Linked DNA regions of Macaca fascicularis. The protein of the gene in region 1 interacts with the protein of each later gene in a biochemical or structural test. Links are inferred from orthologs where the notes say so. Each region holds a gene or a part of one and is shown on either strand. Other genes may lie near its edges.

What was found.
Region 2: the proteins of WWP2 (region 1) and DVL2 form a complex in vitro, tested with the Homo sapiens proteins (2 studies listed by BioGRID, with this or other methods). The link is inferred for Macaca fascicularis from reciprocal best matches to the Homo sapiens genes WWP2 and DVL2.
Region 3: the proteins of WWP2 (region 1) and CDC34 form a complex in vitro, tested with the Homo sapiens proteins (2 studies listed by BioGRID, with this or other methods). The link is inferred for Macaca fascicularis from reciprocal best matches to the Homo sapiens genes WWP2 and CDC34.

What each region holds. Positions count from the first base shown.
Region 1 is NC_088394.1:65,910,758-65,914,268, forward strand, and holds part of WWP2 (NEDD4-like E3 ubiquitin-protein ligase WWP2), read left to right. Parts: intron 1-289; coding exon 290-411; intron 412-3,511. UniProt on the Homo sapiens protein: E3 ubiquitin-protein ligase which accepts ubiquitin from an E2 ubiquitin-conjugating enzyme in the form of a thioester and then directly transfers the ubiquitin to targeted substrates.
Region 2 is NC_088390.1:7,281,076-7,285,024, reverse strand, and holds the start of DVL2 (segment polarity protein dishevelled homolog DVL-2), read left to right. Parts: upstream 1-1,143; 5' UTR 1,144-1,398; coding exon 1,399-1,592; intron 1,593-3,949. Other genes in the region: PHF23 (PHD finger protein 23), read left to right, coding at 1-33.
Region 3 is NC_088393.1:1,084,398-1,088,677, forward strand, and holds the start of CDC34 (ubiquitin-conjugating enzyme E2 R1), read left to right. Parts: upstream 1-1,474; 5' UTR 1,475-1,646; coding exon 1,647-1,823; intron 1,824-4,280. UniProt on the Homo sapiens protein: E2 ubiquitin-conjugating enzyme that accepts ubiquitin from an E1 ubiquitin-activating protein, and catalyzes its covalent attachment to other proteins by an E3 ubiquitin-protein ligase complex. In vitro catalyzes 'Lys-48'-linked polyubiquitination.

The DNA of each region.
Region 1 (3,511 bases):
CTCTGAGGGGGTTGTAGGAGGTACAGATTCCCGGTGGCACCTCCGACTTTTTCTGCCTATGGTACCCAACGTGCCTCTCTTTAGGCGTTCCTGCACCATTGAGCTCATAGAGCGTTCATTATTAGCTAGAGGGTTACAGGGTCAGCTTTTGTGGGGGAAAGGAAATATGTGGGTGTCTGCCTGTTTTGGTTCCCCCTCCCCAAGATGTCAGCAGTTTAGTTTAAATGTTTTCTTCTAAGTTATAGGAATGATCTGCTTGGATGTAATGAATCCGGTATTTGTTTTCCAGGAATGTCACGGCCCAGAGTCATTTAGATTTAAAGGTCTGGAGCTGCCATACCTTGAGAAATGAACTGCTAGGCACCGCGTCTGTCAACCTCTCCAACGTCTTGAAGAACAATGGGGGCAAAAGTACGTATGATGAAGGGGGTGCCGACGTGATTCATTGATGGGGATGGGAGGACCTGGCACATCAACCTGGTGTTGCAGTTTCCCCCAGGACTGGGGCTGCGGTACCTCTGTTCTCCTTGGATGCTGAATTTGGAGTTTTAGGAAGGCTGAGGGCTCCTCTCTGCCTCCAGTGCAGAGTTTAGCCCTCTCTGTCCAGGGCCTGTAGCAATGGGATGCAGTGGTGTGTTGCCCTTGACCCTTCCTTAGGGACTGGAAACTTTCTGTCTGCCTTTGCTGCTCTTCCCGTTGCAGGAGATGTGTGATATGTTGAATGAAACTGTCAAATGCCTCTAGCCTAAATCATTGCTTTTCTAGCCTCAGCCCTAAAACAGAACAAAGGAGCTGTGTATATACGTATATGTGTGTGTGTGCGTGCCTGTGTGCGTGTGTGCACGTGTGTGTCTGGGATAGTTTTACAAATAGTGCCCTGTGCTTACTTGGCATTCAGTAAACATTTACTGGATGTTAGAACGTGATGGACGCGCCATCTGAATTAGCCAACGTGCCTCTACGTCACAGACATATAAATCCTCATCTATTTATTGCTGTTTGTGGTCAGTGGCATGGCCCATGGCTGTGGTATTGGACCCTCCTTCATAAGGCCTCTATTCAGAGTGGTACCATATGTGGCGAATGAATGGCATGTTAAGAAAGGCTCCTTTTTCTCTTGATGTCTAGAAAGTATTTTCTGAAAGTGGATGTAGCTTAAGAGAGAAGTGGGGGCAGGGAGCATTGCGTCCTAGCGAGCGTGTTGCATTCATTTAAGAGTCTTTCTTTTCTCTCCAAGCCTTTCCTTTTAAGCAATGGGCCACTTGAAAGGTCTTTGAGCCTCCTCTGGTCTTTTCTTTTCTGCTGGGCACATGGAGATGTGCTGAACCGATTCTGGCCCGAGGAACTGTTTAAAACCAGAGATGTGCCTCCACTTTAATCCTGCAGAGAACTCCCTGATTGCTTTGTCTTCTGAGTTGGTGTTTATTTTCCCAAACCCTAGCCAGCCTTTTGTAATTTGATCATCAGGGAGAATTCTATTTATTTCAGTATTTGGAAATCTACTTGTGGATAGCCTCACATTAGGATGCAACAACCAGCATGAGGGTCCTTTTTTCTTCTTCATTTGCCCAGCCAATATGCTTTTCCTTTCAGTTAGCAAAAGTCCTCGGAGAAATTGTGAGCTACAGAAAAGCACATGGATACACAAAGAAAACAAAATTTGCCCATAATCACAGTACCTAGTAATAGTTACGGTACTGTTTTTTCTTTTCTTTCTTTTCTTTTTTTTTTTTTTTTTTGAGATGGAGTCTTACTTTGTTGCCCAGGCTGGAGTGTAGTGGCACAATCTTGGCTTATTGCAACCTCCACCTCCCAGGTTCAAGCAATCCTACTACCTCAGCCTCCCAAGTAGCTGGGATTACAGCTGTGTGCCACCATTCCCAGCTAATTTTTGTATTTTTAGTAGACATGAGGGTTCACCATGTTGGCCAGGCTGGTCTTGAACTCCTGACCTCAGGTGATCCGCCTGCCTCGTCCTCCCAAAGTGTTGGGATTACAGGCGTGAGCCACTGTGCCCAGCCTGATAGTTATTCTTAATATTTTTTTAAAAGCAATTTTATGGCCGGGTGTGGTGGCTCATGCCTGTAATCCCAGTACTTTGGGAGGCTGAGGTGGGTGGATCACCTGAGGTCAGGAGTTTGTGACCAGCCTAGCCAACATGGCAAAACCCTGTTTCTACTTAAAAAAAATACAAAAATTACCCGGGGATGGTGGTGGGCTCTGTAATCCTGGCTACTCAGGATGCTGGGACAGGAGAATCGCTTGAACCTGGGGGGTGGAGGTTCCAGTGAGCCGAGATTGCACCATTGCACTCCACCCTGGGTGACAGAGCAAGTCTCAAAAAAAAAAAAAAAAAAAAAAAGAGGGATTTTACTTTAATTAATTAATTTTTATTTTTATATTTTATTTATTTATTTTTTGAGACAGGTTTCTCACTTTGTCACTCAGGCTGGAGTGCAGTGGTGCGATCTCGGCTCACTGCAGCCTCTGCTCCTGGGCTCAAGTGATCCACCCACCTCAGCCCTCGCCCCCTAGTAGCTGGGACTGCGGGCACACACCACCATGGCCTGGCTGTATTTCATATTTTTAATAGAGAGTAGGTCTCATTATGTTGCCAGGATGGTCTGGAACTCCTGAGCTCAAGTGATCCGCCTGCCTTGGCCTTCCAAAGTGCTGGGATTACAGATGTGAGCCACTGCGTCTGGCCAATTAATTAATTTTTTTTTTTTTTTTGAGACGGAGTCTCGCTCTGTCGCCCAGGCTGGAGTGCAGTGGCGTGATCTCGGCTCACTGCAAGCTCCACCTCCCGGGCTCACGCCATTCTCCTGCCTCAGCCTCCCGAGCAGCTGGGACTACAGGCGCCCGCCACCGCGCCCGGCTAATTTTTTGTATTTTTAGTAGAGACGGGGTTTCACCGTGGTCTCGATCTCCTGACCTTGTGATCCGCCCACCTCGGCCTCCCAAAGTGCTGGGATTACAGGCGTGAGCCACCGCGCCCGGCCCAATTAATTAATTTTTAAATTGAGATGGGATCTCGCTATATTGCTCAGGCTGGAGTGTAGTGGCTGTTTACAGGCATGGTCACAGCTCACTGTAGCCTCACACTCCCAGCCTCAAGCCATCTTTTGCCTCAGCCTCCGGAGTAGCTGGAACCACAGGCGTGCATCACTATTCCTGACTATTGTTAACATTTTGACGTATACATTTTTGAGCTTTTTATCTTTTAAATAATTTTTTCCCCTCAGATCCTTGTTCTGATCTTCTTTTATGTTTGTAGACATATATTGATGTTTATGACATCAGTGAAACTAAATTGAGGTTATACATGAATATATTTTGCAATATGCCTTTTTCTCTTTAAAAATGTATCAATATATCTTTGTTTTTATTTATTTATTTTCTGAGATGAAGTCTTGCTCTGTTGCCCAGGCTGAAGTGCAGTGGCGCGATCTTGGCTCACCACAACCTTCGCCTCCTGGGTTCAAGCGATTCTCCTGCCACAGCCTCCCGA
Region 2 (3,949 bases), on another chromosome or scaffold:
TTAGGGGGGCCTCCCAAATCTGGAGAGCCCTGACGGCACCAACTTTAGCCTGGAACTTCCAAATGATAACATGATTTGGGAACTGAGCCTCAGGGTCCTCAGCCTACCCCCTGGAGCTTGGATACTGTCCGCACTTCAAGGCAGGAATTCCCAAGGGAGACTTGTTTGAAAATGAGTGTCTCACTTGCCTACCCTATCCGTCCTCCCCACTCTGAACTTGAAATTGAACCCATTACGGTTGCGGGTGGGAGGCTGTCTGTGTCTCTAGACACATAATCTCTGTCTCTTGGACCTGCCACCATCACTTTCTGGGTCAGGATTGGAATTGGGATGGAATGGGACAGTTGTCTATAAAACTCTAGTGTAAATATTAGCACTCCCCTCCCTCATCTTTTCTTCTATTTCACTCCCCATTTATTTTCTTCTACACCGGTTGTATTTTTAATTTTGGACTTCCCCTACTGGGCATGGCAGCTCAAAGGTGGAGTACTAGAGCCTGGCCAAGCAAGGAAGGAAAGCAGAAAGGTGACGATTCTCACTCACCTCTTTTGTTTTTAATAATATTGGCCGCTGTTTGTACAGACAGCCTGCGTGTTGTAAATAAAGCAGAGTGGGCTCTTTTGTGTTTATAGCCCTCACTGTCCTGCTTGGGAGGGAGGCTTTGGTGGCTGAAGACTAGCTGGACGTGGTGCTGAAAGCCACCTCTCACAGTCCAGTCTGAAGATGGCACAGCACTGGGCCTCTCCCACCCCAAGATACTTGAGTAAGCCACCTCAGAGCTTTCATTGTATTTGGCCCTCCCCACTCGAGTCTAGGAACCCCCACAATCCCCACCTTCACTCCCTGCACGCACACTCCTGAGGGTCAGAGTTGCTTCGCGCTCCCGCCGGTGTGGGGTAAAGCCGGGTGGGAGCCGACTGTCCGCTTCCTGAGGGCACAGGCCAGCTTATCCTGGGTGCTCCGAGGACCTCGGCTGGGGTACACCTTTGGGGGCTGGGAGACCGTTGCCGAAGGCAGCGATCACGTGGCGGGGGCACTAGGAGGAGTCACGCGGTCACGTGACTGGGAGGGGTCACGTGACGGGGGCGGCTGAAGAGCGCGGGGTGGGCGGGCTTAGGTCACGTGACATGAGGAGAGGTGGGCGGGGACCTGGAGGACGCTCGCGTTGTCGGTGGCGGTGGCGCGCGGCGGCCGCTGAGACCGCGGCTTTGAGTCGCACCTCGCGGCCCGCCCCCCGCCGCCACCCTTGCCGACCCCTGCTTTTTTCCCTTTGCTTCTCTCCAGTACTGGGTCCGTCCTGTCCGCGCTCGCTCGTCGGTTTGCGGGTGTGCGCAGGCGCGGCAGGGGCCATTAGCCCCTTGGGTGGGCGGTGGAGCCCGGGAGCGCGCGGGCGAGACCATGGCGGGCAGCAGCGCTGGGGGCGGTGGGGTTGGGGAGACGAAGGTGATTTACCACCTGGATGAGGAAGAGACTCCATACCTGGTGAAGATCCCTGTCCCCGCCGAGCGCATCACCCTCGGCGATTTCAAGAGCGTCCTGCAGCGGCCCGCGGGCGCCAAGTACTTTTTCAAGTCTATGGATCAGGATTTCGGGTGAGCGCAAGGCCTAGATAGGACCGACGGGGGCTTTGCTAGAGTGGATTGGGCGACGTGGAGGGGCACACATCTACTTCGGGCCACACTAGGATTTTCTGGCCTGTGGTGGAGCAGATTGTACCATGCTGAGGTAGGTTGACTCTCCCAGGATGGACAAGGTTATGCTTGGATAGATTGAGGCACACGGGCAGACTAGGATATCCTAAACCAGATTAGAGACGATTAGGCTCTACTGGAATAGGTGGAGGCATACTGGTTTATTTTGGAGTGTTTTAGACTGTACTGAGTAAATTCATCTATCGTCTGGTCGTTTAGTACGTTCTCAGGAGTCCTGTAACGCCTGTAATCTCAGCACTTTGGGAGGCCGAGGCGGGCGGATCACGAAGTCAGGAGATCGAGACTATCCTGGCTAACACGGTGAAGCCCCATCTGTACTAACTAAAAATACAAAAAAATTAGCCGGGCGTGGTGGCGGGCGCCTGTAGTCCCAGCTACTTGGGAGGCTGAAGCAGGGAGAATCGCTTGAACCTGGGAGGCGGAGGTTGCAGTGAGCCGAGATCGCGCCACTGCACTCCAGCCTGGACGACAGTGCAAGACTCCATCTCCAAAAAAAAAAAAACACCAAAAAACAAAACAAAACAAACTTGGGCCATTATGGACTCTACTGGGCTGTATTGGTTAATCCTGGTTTATCTTGGGGCAAGACATGGTTTTATTGGAGCACTCAGTATGGGGGCAGACAAGGCTGTTGGTGCCCATGCTAGTACAGGTAGCTGTATTGGGGTATTCTAGTCTATATTGGTGCAGACAGCTGCGTGTGGGGACATTGTAGGCTGTGCTAGAATAGATTGGGCTATCCTAGGGTAATTTGGACATTCAGGGCTATCTTGGACTAGATTGGCATGTAAATAATGCAGAGAAAGCCCTTTTGTGTTTATGGTCTTTGGGGCTGAGCCCTCTCTGGGTCCTCAACCTCTGCTTTTTTTTTTTTTTTTTTTTTTTAAAGACAAGAGTCTCGCTCTGTCGCCCAGGCTGGAGTGCAGTGGCTGATTCTCGGTTCACTGCAAGCTCCGCCTCCCGGGTTCACGCCATTCTCCTGCCTCAGCCTCCCCACTAGCTGGGACTACAGGCACCCACCACCACACCTGGCTAATTTTTTGTATTTTTTAGTAGAGACGGAGTTTCACCGTGTTAGCCAGGATGGTCTCGATCTACTGACCTCATGATCGGACCGCCTCGGCCTCCCAAAGTGATGGGATTACAGGCGTGAGCCACTGCGCCCAGCCCAACCTCTGCTTTTTTGAAGGCAGGCTGGATTAAGTTGAGATAGCATGGGTTTTAGAAGAACTGAACAAACTGGACTCTAGCTAGAAAGATTGTTTGACATGGGAAGGGTGATACTATCTTGGGAGTTATCTTGGCTTTAAGTCAAGGTTCTTCTAGTTGTCAGCAGTGCAATCTTGGACAATTAATTTAAATTTTGTGTCTTGATCTCGTCTGTGACATGGAGAAAATCACAGAATGAAATGGTTAGTTCAGGTGTGTGGTACATGGTGAATTCTTGGTGAATGGTAATTGTCATTAGTATTGAGGCTGACTACTCTATAAAGGTTATGGTGATACACAGTAATTTGTCTTAAGAGTGGACTGAGCTATGCTGAGATTGTGTTATGTTGGGAAGAATCCTACATGATGCTGAGACAGATTGGTAGTGACTGGGCTGTGTTGTCACATTGACAGCAAATGGATTAAGTTGATATATATCCTGGCTCTTATGACCATATTAGGCTAATGGGTTAATTAGACAAGGTGTCCTAATTTGGCGGCAAGGGTGTGTGTGGAAAGAGAGAGAGAAACAACCAGGGCAGAGAGTCTGATGCTTTATATGTTTATTCATTTAGTTGACAGTATTTGTTAATGCCTAAGTGTCAGTGTGTGGTGTGTGGCCAGGACATGGTGTTGATCAGAGTAAGTGTTCATGGTTTGATGTCGTGGTCAAGAAGAAGGGGCAAGTCCAGTCCACCACAGGGAACCCATTGGAGAGATGACCCCAAGGCTGGGCTTTGGGATCTGTCAGGCTGAGCAGATTGCTTCGTGCCGAATTTTGTGCCAGATGAGGCACAGGGGAATGGGAGCGCCAGCTTGCTCTCTCCTTGGGAGCTTTCAGTCTAATGAGGAGCTTCCATTGTTTGTTTGATCTAATGGTGGGTGGTTTTGTTTTTTGTTGTTTTTTGTTTGTTTGAGGTGGAATCTCACTCTGTCGCCCAGGCTGGAGTGCAGTGGCGCAATCTCGGCTCACTGCAACCTCCGCCTCCTGAGTTCAAGCGATTCTCCTACTTCGGCTTCCGGAGTAG
Region 3 (4,280 bases), on another chromosome or scaffold:
CTGGTCCCCGCCTGTTGTTGATGCAGCTGTGTGTACCCAGGACATAGCAATAATGCCACCAGCACAGTCCGAGGGCAGGGCCACCGCAGTCACGGGCACCACTCAGGGGAGGCTGGGTTGCCCTGTCCTCAGCATGGCCAGTTCTCCCGACCAAGCTTCAGGGCAACGAGCATGCGGGTGTCTGGGCAGCCACTCAGCCAGGTCAGAAGTCAGGTGGGGTCAAGACTCTGGGGGGCCGGGCACGGTGGCTCATGCCTGTAATCCCAGCACTTTGGGAGGCCGAGGCAGACGGATCACTTTGTTACTCCAAACTGCACCCTCCCCTTCCTTCCAAAACCTAACACACTTAAGGTCAGGAGTTCGAGACCAGCCTGGCCAACATGGTGAAACCCCATCTCTACTAAAAAGACACAATTAGCCGGGTGTGGTGGCGCACACCTGGAATCTCAGCTACTCGGGAGGCTGAGGCAGGAGGCTCCCTTGAACCCTGGAGGTGGAGGCTGCAGTGAGATTGTGCCACTGCGCTCCAGCCTGGGCGACAGGGCGAGACTGTCTCAAAAAAAAGACTTGGGTGGGACAGAGGTCAGGCTGGGAGGAGGGCACAGCCAGGCTCAGGCTCAGCTTGGGGTGGGGGCTCCGTGGGGCTGGCGCCTCTCCCGGGTCAGGTGCTGAGCCGATGCTGGCTGGGGGGAGCCTCTTTCCCAGTTTCTCTGGGGGGCAGGAGCACCTTGCCAACCTCTGATGGCTCCAGCACCTGCACCCGCCTCACACCACATGGTGACTTCAACGGGGGACCAGGAAAGCCCTCGCCCCCTCCCGCCCTCAGAGCCCTCCCCGACCTCGCCCACTTCTCAGAGCTCCCGCTGTCGGGGGAACCGAGGCAGCGCCGCGCCTGGAAGCCGGGTCTGCACACCCCGCCTCGCTCCCGCTCCTCCCCTCCGCGAGGCCAGCGCGCCCCAGGACAGACTCAGCGCCCGTCCCCTGTATAGACGGGGAAACGGAGGCGCGGACGCGGGGTCGCGCCGGGGGAACCGGCCCTGCCCCTCCGGCCCCGGTCAGGACCTCGCCCCGCGCCCCGTTCACCGCCCGCAGCCCCGCCCCACGCCGGGACGTCACAAAACGACCCCAAAGCTGGGGGACCGGGCCAGCCACGGCCAGAGCAGCCCTGCCCGCCTCCGTGCGCACAGCGTCCGCGGTACTGGTCGAGCTGGGGGCGACGGCGGCGGCCTCGGGGATCGGAAGCGCCCAGGGTTGCGCGCTCGAACCCTCCCTCCCGGCGGCGGCGCTCGGCGCGGTAGGCGGAACCGGGACCGGGACTCCACTTCCCGGCGTGCCCCGCGGGCGGGCGCGCAGGCGCAGGTCGGGCCTGGCCGCGGCGCGCAGGCGCAGTCGGGGCCGGGCGGAGCGCGCAGGCGCAGCGGGGGGCGGGGCGCGCGGGCCGGGCCAAGGCGAGCGCTGGTGGGGCGGCGGCGCCAGAGCTGGTGGAGCGCTCGGGGTCCCCGGGCGGCGGCGGCGGCGCAGAGGAGGAGGCAGGCGGCGGCCCCGGCGGCTCCCCCCCGGACGGCGCGCGGCCCGGCCCGTCTCGCGAGCTCGCGGTGGTCGCGCGGCCCCGCGCGGCGCCGACCCCGGGCCCCTCCGCCGCCGCCATGGCCCGGCCGCTAGTGCCCAGCTCGCAGAAGGCGCTGCTGCTGGAGCTCAAGGGGCTGCAGGAAGAGCCGGTCGAGGGCTTCCGCGTGACCCTGGTGGACGAGGGCGACCTGTACAACTGGGAGGTGGCCATCTTCGGACCCCCCAACACCTACTACGAGGGCGGCTACTTCAAGGTGAGCGCGGCGACCCCCGCCCGGGTCCCTGAGCCCACGAGCGACCTCGGGCGCCAGGAACCAGCTCCCTGCCCCGCGGTCCCCGGGCGGGCCCGGCAGCCTCCTGGCTTGGGCTCGCTTCCCTTCTATGGCCGGGTCTCCCCACCCAGCTGTGCCCGGCCCCCTCCTCGGACGGTCCCGGGGACCTTCAGCCTCTGCTGCGGTCCCCGAGAATTCTCAGTTTCCTTGAAGGCACCGTCCGGTCCCCGGGTAGTCTCCTGGCCCGCAGAAGGGTGGCCCGGGGCCCTCCCGGTATCATCTGCGCGTGGGGCTCTTGCCCACCTCCTTCCTGGGGGGGGCTCGACCCCGGCTGCCTCCCCCTCCGCCCTTGCGAGAAAGAGGGAGCGGAGCCCAGGCCGCCCCGGCCTTTCTGCTGCCCTCCCCGCCCTCCCCGGAGGAGACAAAGAGGCCCCCCCCAGACCCCGCAGCTGCTATTGTTGGGGAGCTGGGCCTGTGAGCGGGGGAGCGAGGCCAGCCTGGGGGTGGCTGGCGCGGCCACTCGCTCAGGCTCCAACAAAGGCCCGGATGAGCCTTGGCAGCCGGGCCCTGCCTGGAAAGCGGCCACCCTTGCCGATAGCAGCCGGCCAGGCGCCCTGGGCTCCATCCCCGGGTTTATGTAACCTGCGCCCTCGGGAAGGCTGAGGCAGGGGCGTCCCTCCCACCTGCTCCCTGCAGCTCTCCCCGGGCCCCCGGCTCCGGCCCGCGTCCCGGACCCCGACCTCAGAAGCTCCGGGCTGCTTCATCCCAGCTGGCCTTGGCCTTTCTCAGATTCCACTGAACAGGTGGCTTCCTGTGACCCCAACCCCGAGTTCTGGGCCATTCCTTCTGCCCTCTGGCGGTTTCATTCCAAGCAGGTTCTTGATGTTTTTGTTGCCGTTGGGAGCAGGGAGACTGTTTCTGTCCAGTGTGGAAAGGACTCAGGCCAAAGCCTGGCCAGTTTTCTTGATCTCACGATCCAGACGTGACCTTTGGCTCTTGTAGAGTTCCAGGACCTCGTCCTTGGGGCCAGAGGGACAAAGTGAGGGGCCCCGTGTGAGAGGTGGGGATCGCGCACCCTGTCCAGGAATCCCCCCTCCCGCTGTCGCTGCCTGCCAAGAGCCTGGGCACAGCCGGGCCTGCTCTGCCCCGGCCAGCTGCGGGCATGGGGCCGAGGGACCGATGCCTCTCAGAGCGTGTGCTCTCCGGGCTAATTAATGTCTGAACCGCGCGCGCTCAGCGGCTGTGAGGGCAGCAGCCTGGTCTGCTGGGGGCGATTCCTGAGCTGAGGTTCTGGGTTACGGCAGAGGGTGGGACGTCCGTGGGTTGTGCATCTGGAATCGTGGGTCCCCACACAGGGAACAGAGTTTGAGCCTTGAGGTTGTCAAATGGTTTTAGCAGCCCCCTCCCCCAGCCCCTTTTTTCTGCTTGGGGGAGCAGCTGGCTGTGAGCAGGGGCGGCCCCACCTCGAGGCCAGGCCTGTGAGGCGGCTGCTGTTCTGGAAGGAAGGGATGCGGGTTCCTGGCTCCTGCCCACCAGACCGGTTGCCAGGGATTGTGGGCAGAGCCTCCTGGACCAGCATTAGGGGATAATCCGGTTTTCCGGATTTCCTGGGGAGGGGGCCTCTAGACATCTGCCGCAGGGTCAGTCCTCAGAGGCCAGCGTTGAGACGCGGGGGGGTGCTGCCACCCACCGGGGCTCTCCCTTCCCCGTGTGCCTGGGAGGGAGTTGGGGGAGCGTGGAAATACAGGAGCTGCTGAGTGCCCAGGGCCACCGCTGCTGCCCAGCCACTGCCTGCAGCCGCTGTTCCTTCAGGAGCCAGAGCGAGCCCTGGGGCAGGGGCCACCAGAGAGAGCCCTCCACGGCGGACTTGCCGTGTGCCATCGGCGGGGGCTTTGCTTCTCGGAGCCTGGGTTTGCTCCGGGTAAAAGACATGTTTGGAGGTGCTGAAAATAAGAGGTTTGTTGGGACTTGGTGGGGTTCGGTGCAGGTGAGGCCGCCTGGAAACCCAGCACCAGGCTTGGGGGGCCCGGAGTCTTGGGGAACTGCTGGGCAGTTCTGAGCCTGAAGTTCCAGCCTTGCTCTGTGGCTGTGGCCAAGTCCCTTACCTCATGGGGCCCCAGTGAGTTCCCTGTCAAACAGAGGACACCCCCAAGACCCCTGAGAGCCCTCCCTGTCCAGGAAGGACCTCGCCAACAACTGCTCTTTGGGGGTGCTGCCCTCAGCCTCTTGGAGTGCTGAGTGCCACCAGGACCCCTGACCCAGACACCCCCGTGCCTGGCACTGGGGCCCAGGAAGGAAACAGTGAGGCTTCCTTGTTTACCTGTTGGGGCCCAGGAGGGCCGTGGGTGGCGTCACGCCCCAGGCCGCAGGCCAGACAGCTCTGTCACCGGGCACGTGGCTGCAGTCCTTCCTCTGTGGCCGTCCTTGCCAGCAGGCCTG